Linked DNA regions of Macaca mulatta. The protein of the gene in region 2 purifies or fractionates together with the protein of the main gene of each other region. This does not show direct contact. Links are inferred from orthologs where the notes say so. Each region holds a gene or a part of one and is shown on either strand. Other genes may lie near its edges.

What was found. Proteins that work in one complex are often made in the same cells at the same time.
Region 1: the proteins of SART3 (region 2) and LSM2 purify together in Homo sapiens (affinity purification with mass spectrometry; 3 studies listed by BioGRID and IntAct, counting the BioPlex papers as one, with this or other methods). This does not show direct contact. The link is inferred for Macaca mulatta from reciprocal best matches to the Homo sapiens genes SART3 and LSM2.

The regions. Positions count from the first base shown.
Region 1 is NC_133409.1:150,508,138-150,515,208, reverse strand, and holds the start of LSM2 (U6 snRNA-associated Sm-like protein LSm2), read right to left. Parts: upstream 4,545-7,071; 5' UTR 4,335-4,544; coding exon 4,332-4,334; intron 3,723-4,331; coding exon 3,655-3,722; intron 1-3,654. UniProt on the Homo sapiens protein: Plays a role in pre-mRNA splicing as component of the U4/U6-U5 tri-snRNP complex that is involved in spliceosome assembly, and as component of the precatalytic spliceosome (spliceosome B complex).
Region 2 is NC_133416.1:115,685,141-115,692,221, forward strand, and holds the start of SART3 (spliceosome associated factor 3, U4/U6 recycling protein), read right to left. Parts: upstream 4,527-7,081; 5' UTR 4,516-4,526; coding exon 4,204-4,515; exon of another isoform or gene 2,897-4,203; intron 1,103-2,896; exon of another isoform or gene 980-1,102; intron 1-979. Other genes in the region: iron-sulfur cluster assembly enzyme ISCU, read left to right, coding at 5,948-6,061. UniProt on the Homo sapiens protein: U6 snRNP-binding protein that functions as a recycling factor of the splicing machinery. Promotes the initial reassembly of U4 and U6 snRNPs following their ejection from the spliceosome during its maturation.

The sequences.
Region 1 (7,071 bases), on a different chromosome or scaffold from region 2:
CATCACACCAAATTGCCTAAGACTGCTAGTGATTTCCATACTTGTCTTGCTCTGTGTCCCCAATCTATACACATCGATACCACCTGCATGGCCAGTGCCACAAACGGAAACCTCTGTTCTAAAATGCAACGGCCCTTAAGTTCCTCTCCTCACCATTCCCTGCCATGTCAACGTGTAACCCACGAAGAAATTAAATCACATAGAAATGTGGAAGACAACCAGGCACATGGCACATGCCTGTAATTCCAGCACTTTGGGAGGCCAAGGTGGCAGGACTGCTTGAGCCCAAGAGTTTGAGACCAGCCTGGGCAACACAGTGAGACTCTGCCTCTCCAAATAATTAAAAAATTAGCTGGGCGTGGTGGCATGTAGCCCCACCTATTCAGGAGGCTGAATGAGCTATGACTGTGCCATTACACTCCAGCCTGGACAACACAGTGAGACCCCCATCTCAAAAAAATAAATGTGGAAGACACTTTTGGGAAGAGAATACAATTGACCCCATCTTTCTAAAGGATAACGAGATAATAGGTATCAATATTTTAAATGTACTTTTTTTTTTTTTTTTTGAGATGGAGTCTCAGTCTGTCGCCCAGGCTGGAGTGCAGTGGCCTGATCTCAGCTCACTACAACGTCCGCCTTCTGGGTTCAAGCAATTCTCCTGCATCAGCCTCCCGAACAGCTGGGATTACAGGCACACAACACCACGCCTGGCTGATTTTTGTATTTTTAGTAGAGATGGGGGTTTCACCATATTGGACAAGCTGGTCTCAAACTCCTGACCTCAGGCATCTGCCCGCCTTGACTTCCCAAAGTGCTGGGATTACAGGTGTGGGCCACTGCATCTGGCCTAAATGTACATATCATTTAAAGGACTGTACAGATAAGTACAGGGCCAGGCATGCTGGCTCATGCCTGTAACCCCAGCACTTCGGAAAGCTGAAGCAAGAGGATTGCTTGAACTCAAGAGTTTGAAACCAGCCTGAGTAACAAAGCGAGACACTGTCTCTAATTTTTAAATAAATAAATATTATTTTAAGAAAGAAAATAGGACTAGGTGCAGTGGCTCACACCTGTAATCCCATCACTTTGGGAGGCCAAGGCGGGTGGATCACAAGGTCAAGAGTTCAAGACCAGCCTAGCCTAGATGGTGAAACCCCTTCTCCACTAAAAATACAAGAATTAGCTAGGCATAGTGGTGGACGCCTGTAATCACAGCTACTCGGGAGGCTGAGGCAGAGAATTGCTTCAGCCCAGGAAGCGGAGGCTGCAGTGAGCCGAGATCGCGCCACTGCACTCCAGCGTAGGTGACAGAGACTCCATCTCAAAAAAAAAAAAAAAAAAAGCCAGGCGCAGTGGCTCACGCCTGTAATCCCAGCACTTTGGGAGGCCGAGGCAGGCGGATCACAAGGTCAGGAGATCAAGACCATCCTGGCTAACACGGTGAAACCCCGTCTCTACTAAAAATACAAAAATTAGCCAGGTGTGGTGGCAGGCGCCTATAGTTCCAGCTGCTGGGGAGGCTGAGGCAGGAGAATGGCATGAACCCGGGAGGCAGAGCTTACAGTGAGCAGAGATCACACCACTGCATTCCAGCCTGGGCGACAGAGCGAGACTATCTCAAAAAAAAAAAAGAAAAAAGAAAAAGAAAAAGAAAAAAGCTGGACATAATCATATTTCTGTTCTGTATCACTTACTAGTTTTGTAGACTTGAACAAGTGGTATAGCTGATCTAAGCCTCAGTTTCCTCATATGTATAACAGCAATAGTACATATTACTAAGGAGTGTTTGAGAAATCAATCAATAAATGTATTCAGAATAGTGCTTAGTCAATAGGTCTTCAGATATTATTTTTCTTTCCTTAAGCACCTATCATACAACTGGCCTATACTAGGTATTAGATACACAGTAGCATATCTAATACGTAGGTTTCACCATGTTGGCCAGGCTGGTCTCAATCTCTTGACCTTGTGATCCACCCACCTCAGCCTCCCAAAGTGCTGGGATTACAGGCATGAGCCACCATGCCCAGCCTATGGCCTGTTCTGTTTTTTTGTTTATTTTTTTGAGATGGAGTCTCGCTCTGGTCGCCCAGGCTGGAGTGCAGTGGTGCCATCTTGGCTCACTGCAAGCTCCACCTCCTGGGTTCATGCCATTCTCCTGCCTCAGCCTCCCAAGTAGCTGGAACTACAGGCGCCCGCCACCACACCAGGCTAATTTTTTGTATTTTTAGTAGAGATGGGGTTTCACCATGTTAGGCAGGATGGTCTCAATCTCCTGACCTCGTGATCCGCCCACCTCGGCCTCCGAAAGTGCTGGGATTACAGGCGTGAGCCACTGCGCCTGGCCTGGCCTGTTCTTTTTTGAGACAGTCTTCCTCTGTCACCCAGGCTGGAGTAAAGTGGTACAATCATGGCTCACTGCAGCCTCGACCTCCTGGGTTCAAGTGATCCTCCCACCTCAGTCTCCCGAATAGCTGGGACTACAGGCATGTAAACCACATCTGGCTAATCTTTTATAGAAATGGTTCTATGTTGCCCAGGCTAGTCTCGACATCCTGGACTCAAGTGATCCTCCTGCCTCAGCCTCCCAAAGTGCTGAGATTACAGGTGTGAGCCACCATGGCCAGCCTAGTACTTACTCTTTATTTATTTTTTTTGAGACAGAGTCTCACTCTGTCACCCAGGCTGGAGTGCAGTGGTGTAATCTCAGCTCACTGCAACCTCTGCCACCCAGGTTCAAGCGATTTTCCTGCCTCAGCCTCCCAAGTAGCTGGGATTACAGGCACCTGCCACCATGCCTGGCTAATTTTTGTATTTTTAGTAGAGACGGGGTTTCACCATCTTGGCCAGACTGGTCTTGAACTCCTGACCTCGTGATTCACCCACCTCGGCCTCCCAAAGTGCTGGGATTACAGGCATGAGCCACACGTCCAGCCCATGAGCCACCACACCTGACCAGTATTTACTCTTTAAACTGTATATTGCTTTGTATTGTTTTCCAATACACAATACAATCCCCAAGCTTATCTGTAAATTTAAGGCACAAGGCATTTATTTATTGTTAAATTTTAAAATTTGTCTTAGAGATGGGGTCTTGCTCTATTGCCCTGGCTAGAGTGCAATGGAGTAATCACTGCTCACTGCAGCCTCAAACTCCTGGGCTCAAGCAATCCTCCCTCCTCAGTCTCCCAAAGTGCTCGGATTACAGGCGTGAGCCACTGCACCCCACCCATTTATTTCTTTTGTTTGTTTGAGACAGAGCCTCGCTCTGTCACCCAGGCTGGAGTGCAGTGGCGTGATCTGGGCTCACTGCAAGCTCTGCCTCCCAGGTTCACGCCATTCTCCTGCCTCAGCCTCCAAAGTAGCTGGGACTACAGGGGCCTGCCACCATGCCTGGCTAATTTTTTGTATTTTTAGTAGAGACAGGGTTTCACCGTGTTAGCCAGGATGGTCTTGATCTCCTGACCTCGTGATCCGCCCACCTCAGCCTCCCAAAGTGCTGAGATTACAGGCGTGAGCCACCGCACCCGGCCATTTATTTCTTCTGTACATATTCCACCTCACCCAGCCCTCAAATATTTCTCAAATTAAAGAGGTTCCAGGGCCCTGGGCACACCCACCCCCAACAGACTTGTTGGAACAGGTACCTACCTCAGGTCATTCTTGAGTTCCACGACCACATCCTTGCCCACAAGGGACTTGAAAAAAGAATAGAAGAGCTATTGGGAGAGAGGGGGAAAACCATCATGTGGGAAGGAACATGGTAGGGAGGAGTGTCCCTTGACAGTATTACCAAATACCGGTATTGTGAACCCCATTGCATCCCTAACAGTTCTCAAAATTTCACAGGAAAGAATAATTGGTTGAGAGGTGAAAGGCTGGAGCCCAAATTATTCTGCACACTGCATTGAGCCCATCACTTAAAGTCCCAGAGAGGCTCTGCCCTGCATACCTCGGCCTCCCCAGTGTGCTCTCTCAATCGACCACCTTTCTCGGGTACCTGCCCACTCCTTTCAATGAATTACAGAAAACATCCCACCCGCACCCTGCCGAAGCTTGCCTGGCAGAGAAGTGCTCTAAGGTCTAACTTTTCCGTCTCCCGCTGTCCCCACTGAATCTCTCTCAGGGTTGGGGTTTTTTTCCTCATCATGGAAAAAAAAAATCCCATTTGCTCTCAGGTGTCTCCTCAACGAACTTGAGGAACAGGACTAACGATGAAGATAAAAACTCCGGACCTAACTCCAGCCTAGGGGGACAAAGGCCAGACCCCCCTGCCCCAACCGTCCGAGATCCCCGAGGGCGACCCCTTTTGACGTCACGGTACCCACCATGGTGCTGGCGCAGCGGGCAGCGGGCCGGAGCGAGAAAAGAGCCGGATGCTGAGACCAGGTCTGGGAGAACCGAAGCGCGAGCCCGCGCGTGGGGCGAGGCGGGACCGCGCAGGCGCAGCGGGAAGGGACGCAGAACCCTCCAAGCGCTGAAGGGTAAAGCGCGGCCGACTTGCGGCTGGGGAGCGCAAGCTGGGTAAAACCGAGGGGAGGAGGAAGCCGGGAAAGGGGCGGGGTTTCCTTCGTTCCGACTTCTTCCAGGGCCGGCCGGCTCCCATTGCGCAGGCGCGGACCCTAGCCTGGGCTGCTAGGCGGGTGGAGGCACTCGGCGTCTGAGCTCAAAAGGTTTTGTTTTCCATAACCCTGCCGTCCACAGCGTGATGTGTTCGTGCCCTCTACACACATCCTATCGAGAATTGTGGGGAGTTTGTGAAGATTATGAAGTGTGCACTTTTCTATATTTGTTAAAGTAAAAACATAAAATTCAAAAAATAAAATTAAAAAATGTTTTTAATCTTAAATTCAGCTGATAAAAAAAAAAAAGGCCGAGGGCGGTGGCTCACGCCTTCAATCCCAGCACTCTGAGAGGCCAAGGTGGATGGATTGTGTGAGGTCAGGAGTTCGAGACCAGGCTAGCCAACATGGTGAAGTCCCGTCTTCACTAAAAATACAAAAAAAATTAGCCAGGCGTGGTCGCGGGCGCCTGTAATCCCAGCTACTCGGGAGGCTGAGGAAGGAGAATTGCGTGAACCCGGGAGGTGGAGGTTGCAGGGAGCCAAGATCATGCCACTGCACTGCAGCCTGGGCGACAGAGCGAGACTCGTCTCAAAAAAAAAAAAAAAATTGGCCGGGCGCGGTGGCTCACGCCTGTAATCCCAGCACTTTGGGAGGCCGAGACGGGCGGATCACGAGGTCAGGAGATCGAGACCATCCTGGCTAACACGGTGAAACCCCGTCTCTACTAAAAAATACAAAAAACTAGCCGGGCGAGGTGGCGGGTGCCTGTAGTCCCAGCTACTCGGGAGGCTGAGGCAGGAGAATGGCGTGAACCCGGGAGGCGGAGCTTGCAGTGAGCTGAGATCCGGCCACCGCACTCCAGCCTGGGTGACAGAGAGAGACTCCGTCTTAAAAAAAAAAAAAAAAAAAAAAATTGACCGGGCGCAGTGGCTGACGCCTATAATCCCGCACTTTGGGAGGCCAAGGCAAATGGATCACCTGAGGTCAGGAGTTCTAGACCAGCCTGGCCAACATGGCGAAATCCTGTCTCTACTAAAAACCCAAAAATTAGCCAGGTGTGGTGGCACGCGCCTGTAAACCCGGGAGGTATAAGTTGCAGTGAGTGGAGATCGTGCCATTGTACTCCAGCCTGGGCAACAACAGTGAAACTCTTGTCTCAAAACAACAACAACAACAAAATGTTGAGGCTTGTAAATCCCAGCATTTTGGGAGGCTGAGGCAGGAGGATCATTTGAACCCAAGAGTTACAGTGAGCTACGATCTCCCCACTGCATTCCAGCCTGGGCAAGACTCTGTCTATAAAAAAGAAAATTATAAAAAACAAAAAAATGTTGAGGAGTCCCAGAGATAAGGAGCTGGAGCACAAATTTTGGTTTTATCAAAGGTTACCAATAAATATATTTCTCCAAAGGAGCCAACCTCAATCTCCATATTTCTTACACACTTTTGCCAAGACTGTCCTGTAAAGGACTGAGTAAAAAGAGACTGTGGCTTACAGATGCAAATAACCCAGTCTAACATTTCACTGCCAAATGTTTCAAACACAGACAGAAATGCACAGTTACATATCATTCTAACTCATGTCCCCCAGGTTTTTATAAATGTATATTAGGACACAGGTAAAAGAAAACAAATTTTTTTGAGATGCAGTCTTGCTCTGTCATCAGGCTGGAGTGCGGTGCCACGATCTCAGCTCACTGCAACCTCCACAACCCAGGTTCAAGCAATTCCTCTGCCTCACCCTCCCGAGTAGCTGGGACTACAGGCGTGCACCACCATGCTCAGCTAATTTTTGTATTTTTAGTAGTGACGAGGTTTCACCATGTTGGGCAGGATGGTCTCGATCTCTTGACCTCATGATCCACCCACCTCGGCCTCCCAAAGTGCTGGGATAACAGGTGTGAGCCACTGCACCCGGCCGGTAAAAATATTTTTTCATGGACTAAGACTTCATAAACTTATATTTGTCATCTTGCATAGAAGTACTTATTTGTCAAGAGTTTGTTATAGAAATATTTTCTGGGGCTAGGCATGGTGGCTCACGCCTATAATCCCAGCACTTTAGGAGGCTGAGGTGGGTGTATCACCTAGGTCAGGAGTTCAGAACAGCCTCGTCAACATGGTGAAACCCCATCTCTACTAAAAACACAAACATTAGCTGAGTGTAGTGGTGAGCGCCTGTAATCCCAGCTACTCAGGAGGCTGAGGCAGAAGAATTGCTTGAATCCGGGAGGCGAAGGTTGCAGTGAGCCAAGGTCGTGCCATTGCACTCCAGCCTGGGCGACAAGAGTGAAACTCTGTCTCCAAAAAAAAAAAAAAAGAAAGAAAGAAAAGAAATATTTTCTCCATATAATGAATGTAAACAATGAACTCTGTGAGTGCACAGATGCTGAACCTCCTGGACCTTACCTATACATCAGGACATCAAGCAGGATTTGTCCCTCCACCCCAAGCTGAGTCCTAAACACCAAAACCAGCCTGTAACTGATTAAAAGCAGTTATA
Region 2 (7,081 bases):
AACCCCGTCTCTACTAAAAAGTACAAAAAACTAGCCGGGCGAGGTGGCGGGCGCCTGTAGTCCCAGCTACTCGGGAGGCTGAGGCAGGAGAATGGCGGGAACCCGGGAGGCGGAGCTTGCAGTGAGCTGAGATCTGGCCACTGCACCCCAGCCTGGGCGACAGAGCGAGACTCCGTCTCAAAAAAAAAAAAAAAAAAAAAAAAAAAAAGACTTTTAGCAATGTTCTCCTGCTTATGACTCCTAAAAGCTGACAAACTGAACTCATCCGATGATCACGATAGGTGAAAAGCACTGGACCAGATCAGGACACAAGTGTTCTAATCCCCACTTGTTCTGTTTCCTCGTTTGTACCATGAAAGAGCTGGGCTAAAGCTCTGGTTCTTAAATGGGCTACCATGACACACTGATGTTTCAAAATCACGTATCAAGTGTGTCACACAAAGTAACCGCAGTTTGGGATATTTGAGAAATGAAGTTTGAGAAGGATATACTTTCTTCATTAAAGAACATTCAAGGCTCTCCGCGCCACATCACCACTCTGAACTCACTAGAGGTGCTTGTGGAGCACGAACAGGAGTGGGAGAGCACTTGCCAGTCAGTGTCACGAATATCTATGTATGCAAGCACCCCTCACATGAATACCATGTGTAGATCAGCAGAAGAAAAAGCTGTAAAAGTCGCTAAAGTCAAGAAGCTGCCTTTAAGGTGTGGCTTTTGGTGTAAACTTCTGATTTTCAGGGTAAAATGATGAAGTTGCCATATAAGGACAAATACTCTGAAAGTACATATATTAAATACATATTGAAATGCATTTAAAAGAGCTATTTCTACATAGTTCAACCTATACTGAGAAATGATAAATATGCTGGTCTATTCTGGTCTTAGAACATCATTAATGACTTTTTTTTTTTTTTTTTTTTTGAGATGGAGTCTTGCTCTGTCACCCAGGCTGGAGTGCAGTGGTGTGATCTCAGCTTACTGCAACCTCTGCCTCCCAGGTTCAAGTGATTCTCCTGCCTCAGCCTCCCCAGTAGCTGGGATTAATAACATAGATGCTTTAAAGGAAACTTAACCAATCACAAAATGATACGTTAACTGATTGAACTCCCTAGCAATGTGAAGAAAGTGTTACACCTACCTGTACTAGAAAGGGGGAGAAATAAGAGAGGTCTGATGGAAAGAAAACAACTGGTGCGATCAAGGGAAAGGCAGGGAAGGGAGAATGGAGCAGCAACTATCACATACCAAACCGTGCCAGGAGCTTTACCCACATTGTGCCTGTGAGTCACCCCACAACAGCCTTGTGAGGAAAGCACTATTACAACCTTCATTTTACTAACTGGGACACCCAAGGCTCTGCGAGCTGAAATAACTTGTTACAAGGCCTTTCCACTACTCAATGGAAGGCTGGGGATCACACAGGGTTGCAAAGCCATAGTCTCTGTACTGCTGCACTGACAAATCTGCTGAAGCGACCATGAAGTGCCACTTTTAGTTTCAGCACACAAACACAAATAATGGAAAATATTTGCTTTTGTTACACAGATACCATAGCAAACTGCCAGCTTCCATAAAATATAATCGTGGCCACGTGTGGTAGCTTGTGCCTGTGATCTGAGAACTTTGGGACACTGAGGCAGGAGGATGACTTGAGCTCAGGAATTCAACATCTACCTGGGCAACATAGTAAGAACCCATCTCTACAAAAATAAATTTTAATTAGCCAGGCGTGGGGGCTCATGCCTGTAGTCCGAGCTACTTTGAAGGATGAGCTGGGAGGATCACTTGAGCCTGGGAGGTCCCAGCTGCAGTGAGCCATGATCACGCCACTACTCCAGCCTGGGCAAGAGTGAGACGCTCTCTCAGAAACACTCAGGTATGAGAACCAGAACTTTCAAATATGGCGAGGCCAAGTTTCTCCCAGACCTATTTGGAAGCGATTCATCATGATGCTCTACCATAAGAGCAGCTACGGCAGGAAGCAGCAGCTGTGGGACCAGGTGAGGTGGGTGGGAGGCTTGGAGAAATTGGAAAAGTCCATTTCTAGACCCCAGGACAGAGAGCATAAGGCCAGAGGGTCTTCAATTCATCACTTGCCAGGTCCCATCCTGTGTGGTCACATTCTAAACTCCATTCCACCCTTGGTGATTTGTGGCAGGACAGGCAACTGCAGAGTACTAGTGGCCAGGAGACCTCTGCTCTCCCCTTTCTTGCTCCTTAGCAAGCTGTGTACCCTCATCAAGGACTTAACCTCTCTGGTCCCAAACCTCTCTTTCCCCCACGTCACAGAATAGGCTCATCGAAAGGCCCAGGACTAGCAGTCTGAAGAAATGATATCAACAAGGGCAGGGACACAGTCAATCTGGTACGCAGTGTCACGCTGTACTTGCTGAATAAGACTAAATTAGCTTCAGTACACTTATTTATAAAAAGTGGAAATGGTAACTACCTGCCAACCCCAACTGGTTCCTCTGTCAATCAAATGTAATGGGTGGGACAAGCTATACCAATGGATGACATCACTATCTCATAATGTAACAAAAATATCAGTGCCAGAGGGAGTATTATAAGGAAACTGACACTCAGCAACGTTTAATGAGTAACCTAGATTAGCAACTTCACATTCCCTGAGTGATTTCACATCCAGTGTGGCATCTAGTCCACATTTTCAGTGTAAATCCCACTATGAACGACTTAAAGCAAATCATTTCATCATTTGTTCTGAACCTCTGTTTCTTCATCTGTAAAAAGAGAATGTGGGCCGGGCGTAGTGGCTCAGGCCTGTAACCCCAGCACTATGGGAGGCCAAGGTGCGTGGATCCCCTGAGGTCAGGAATTCAAGAGAAGCCCGGCCAACATGGTGAAACTCCATCTCTACTAAAAATACAGAAATTAGCCGGGCGCAATGGGGCATGCCTGGATCCCAGCTACTGGGAAGGCTGAGGCAGAAGAATCGCTTCAACCAGGGAGGCAGAGTTTGCAGTGAGACGAGATGGTGCCACTGCACTCCAGCCTGGATGACGGGGCGAGACTCTTGTCTCAAAAAAAAAAAAGAGAATGTGCTCCATCTCTTCTGTTTGCCCCCTCCAAACACACCCTACCCTCTCCTCCCTGCCCTGTGTCCCCGAGTATAGACCCCATATACAGGTTTTCTGGCTCTTCAGCTTCCAGATGGGTCTGCCCAGCAGAAGGCACCAGCAGGGGAAGTTTGGTGGAAGGAAGAAAGGGAGGTCAAGGTATTTCTTCCCCCACCCCAATCCTTGACAGGAAACTGGGGCTGCATCCCTTGAACAAAGTTATCAGCAGGTCTCAGGTGCCCTCTCTACACAACTCAGATCATTCCCTTCACCCCTTCAGGCCCAAAGATGGACACCAGGTTCTGGAGTTACTAGCCATGGGATACTAAACCTTCACTCCTGATTTCCCTACCCACACCCTTACTTTCTCTCAGATCATCCTAATCTAAATGTGCCACCTATTTCCTGCTGAGATCCTGGATTATACAGTAGATATCACCACCTCGTAAGGTTACAAACGAAAGACCATGTTATGACTAGATGCTAGGCACTGGACTATAGATACTGTTACAACAATTATATTATGCAGACATTGTTGCTCCCAATCTGCAGATGAGGAAGCCGAGAGGATCAGAGAAATTAAGAAATTCTCACAAGGACATACAAGGGTGGAACAGCTAGAACTGAGGCCTTAACCTCCAGAACCAGCAAACCTTTCCATTTCTATTATCACCATCGCGGTCAATATTTTTCCTACCACAAGTTTCATCACCGCCGTCATTCCTACACAACAAAGTAACAGTCTCTTGTGAACGAGTGTATTTCTACTGTTGGACGTGTGGCTACGAGGGGGAGTTCTGGAATGGGATCAAAGTACGAGGCCTGACTTGCAGGAAGTATTATCTTGAGCAAGAGACTTTCCTCCACGAACCTCAGTTTCCTCCAATAAAATGGGGATAGATAACAGGGCTTCCTTCACAGGGTGGTGAGGAGGATTCAATGGGATAACATTTGCAAAGCACCGGGCACGCAGTAAGCACTCAAATGACAGGAGCTACGGTCATGAAAAAGGGGTTTGCAGCCTTGGCGGCTTTATGGCCGCCGAGGACTAGGGAGGCGGGCCAGGACACGGGGACCTGAGGACCTGAAAGACTGGAAGGTGCCCGCTGCCCACCCCCGGGCCCACCTGCTCCTCCAGTCTCTCAATCTCCAGCTGGTTCTTCTCCTCCTCTTCGTCATATTCCCACTCGTACTCCCCGGGGGAGCTCTCCGCGGAGGAAGCCATGGCGTACTCATCCCCATCGCTCTCGCTCACGCCTTCCTCCTGCTGATCCCACCCTGGCCCCACGGTCTTGTATGTCGCAGCGGCCACAGCCCGCGATAACACCTTCCTTCTTGTCCTCGCCGCCTTAACCTCATCCTCCTCTCCGTCAGCCTTGGGCCCAGCCTTGGACTCAGCCTCAGGTTCTGAAGCCGAGGTTGCGGCCGCAGTCGCCATCTTGCGCTTCTAATGACTCTCGGGTCTTCCCGCGGCCGCCAAAGACCCGCTGAGGCAGAAGCTGCCCGCGGCGCGCGCCTTATCAAAAGCCCGTTTTCTTGACACTGAAAGGGAAACTGGGAACCTTAGATAACGAGAAAATCTCCAAATACACTAAATTCATTTTATTTTATACCCCTGTAAAAACTCCCACCAGAGAAAAAACTCATTATCATGGCATACGTTCCGTCACAACTTCGGACAGAAGTTGGGTCTTTGGGCAGGAAGTGGAGGCCATAGAGGAAGTCATGGAGCGAGCGTGGTGTCTGTAGTAAAGAATTTGGCGCCATCTTGAGAAGGTCAAAGTGATTCTTAGAAAAAATACCTTACTTATCGCCTAGCGTGACCTGGCGCTTGGGTTTAGTCTCCCCAGCAACTGCACCTCAAACGCAAAGAAAACTGCAGGTCCTCGGGGAAGGATCGATTTCACCATTCAAGAGAAAAATCCATTTCCCAAAGAAATTCTTCCCCTTTATGTAAACATCTGGTACCTAGGAGGCGTTAAATACACTTGAGTTTTCCGGTTTTATAAGCTCACATACTGCAAACCAACAGTAAATACGCATTTCTTTAGAAATTCTTAATTGCTAGGCACCGACATATAAATTGAATTTGCTGTTGTTTTAGAGAGAAAAATAGACATATACTCATTTTTTTTCAATCAGGACATGGTGTTCGTTTCCTTCTTAAGCTTCCCATTGTTGAGGTAGGCAAGTACTGGAGTGTGTCTCTATCTCTACCTTGCTCCCTCATTAGCAAGCTTAATAGGCAGGAATTACGTCTGTTTTGCTTTCTGTTGGATCCCCGGGTCTAGTAGAGTGCCTTGACACATAGTAGGTACTCGACACAGATGCTGGCTTCATGATGAAGGAATTGTCCTCGAATTAATACAAAAGGGAAGATTCAGACTTAGCAAGCCGGTACCATTTGTCTAGGGACACACAGCCAGGAAGGAACCGAACCAGGATTCTAACCCAGGACTACCCAAGTTCGAATTCTAATTGAACCTAAGCCCTAAGCGACCTTGGACGGAGTGACCAAACTGCCCTGAATCTCAGCTTCCTTAGCTGCAAAATAGGGTTAGGAAAAGTGGACTCAGTGGTCCTCTGCGCCGCATTCCCACACTGCAGAAGCCTGAGATCCTCTCTCAACCAGAATCCAGCACCCAGGACAAGCCCTCTAGCGACTTCAGACCTTCCCGCTCCCGACCCCGCCCGCCCCCGAGAGGCGTGGTCAAGGCGGGGCCACAGGGCGGAGGCTTGCACGGAACGGTAAGGCGCAGGCGCAAAGCCTCGGTGACGCCAGAGAGGCGCGCTCCCAGCTCGGCGCCGACTCGCAGACGCGCCCCGCCCCTCGGCATCGCTCTGGACTGGCGCAGGCGCAAGCCGGCAAGATGGCGGCAGCTGGAGCTGGCCGTCTGAGGCGGGCAGCGTCGGCTCTGCTGCTCCGGAGCCCCCGCCTGCCCGCCCGGGAGCTATCGGCCCCGGCCCGACTCTATCACAAGAAGGTAGGGACAAACGAGGGGACACGCGGAATGCCGACTCGGGGGAGGCCTGGGCTGGAGCGGCGGCCGCGGGGTTCTACGCAGCCAGGACTAGCTGTCGCCTCCCACGTCTTTCCCCTGACTCACTTTCCCTTGCTACGCAGTGAGGCTCACTGCAACTGATAAACAACAGTTACCGCTTATCGGGCTGCGACTTCCAGGGGGCCCCGCCGCTGGCCGCGACTTCGTGCGTCCCAACTTTAAATTCGCCAACAGCCCAGGAGGCAGGGTCCTGTTGGGACTTGTCTTTTACAGTCCATTGACAGACACACCCCCGGAGCGGGCTCCGGCTTCAGCCACGCTGCTGCCCTGGCCAGATGACCTTGCGCTAGTCACTGCGCCTCTCTGAACTTGTTTCCCCAGGTGTAAATGAGGACTCTCAGCTGTCTCTTACAAAGGATACTGTGCATGGAGTCCTGTCATGGTTCCTGGCACATAGGCCCCAGCACGAGGAGACCGTTTTTGTTACTGCTTTAGGAGTGCATAGGGGAGTCAGACTTGTAACCAACATGCGTAGTGTTTTTGTTTTGTTTTGGGGGTTTTTTTGGCGGGGAAGGAGGGATAGATGCATAGTTTGCAGCCCCTTGCTGTCTGGTGACGCAAAGTCCCCCAGACGTGAGACTGCCACTCTAGAAACAGAATAAATCAACGTGGCACAAAAAGTCCCTCCGTTAGATACTATCCTATAGGGGCCTTTACTTGGAGTCAAAATCCTTAGATGGGGAGGAAAAGGGGACTGGAAGATCGGGGTGCTTACTACTAACCAGTAACCACATTAAGGCCTTCTGTGTGCCAGTTCGAATAGATGTTGATTCTGATCTGGCCTCTGCCCTTTCTCCAAGGGCTTCTTCACTCCTCCCCCTCCCGGCGGTGTGTTTCGTTGAGGGTACACCCCGAGGAAACTTGGACTAGCAGCCTTTCAGCAGCCAGGGTGCGCTGCTGCACCAGGGTGATGACAGGCTCTGAAATACGGTAATGGCACTG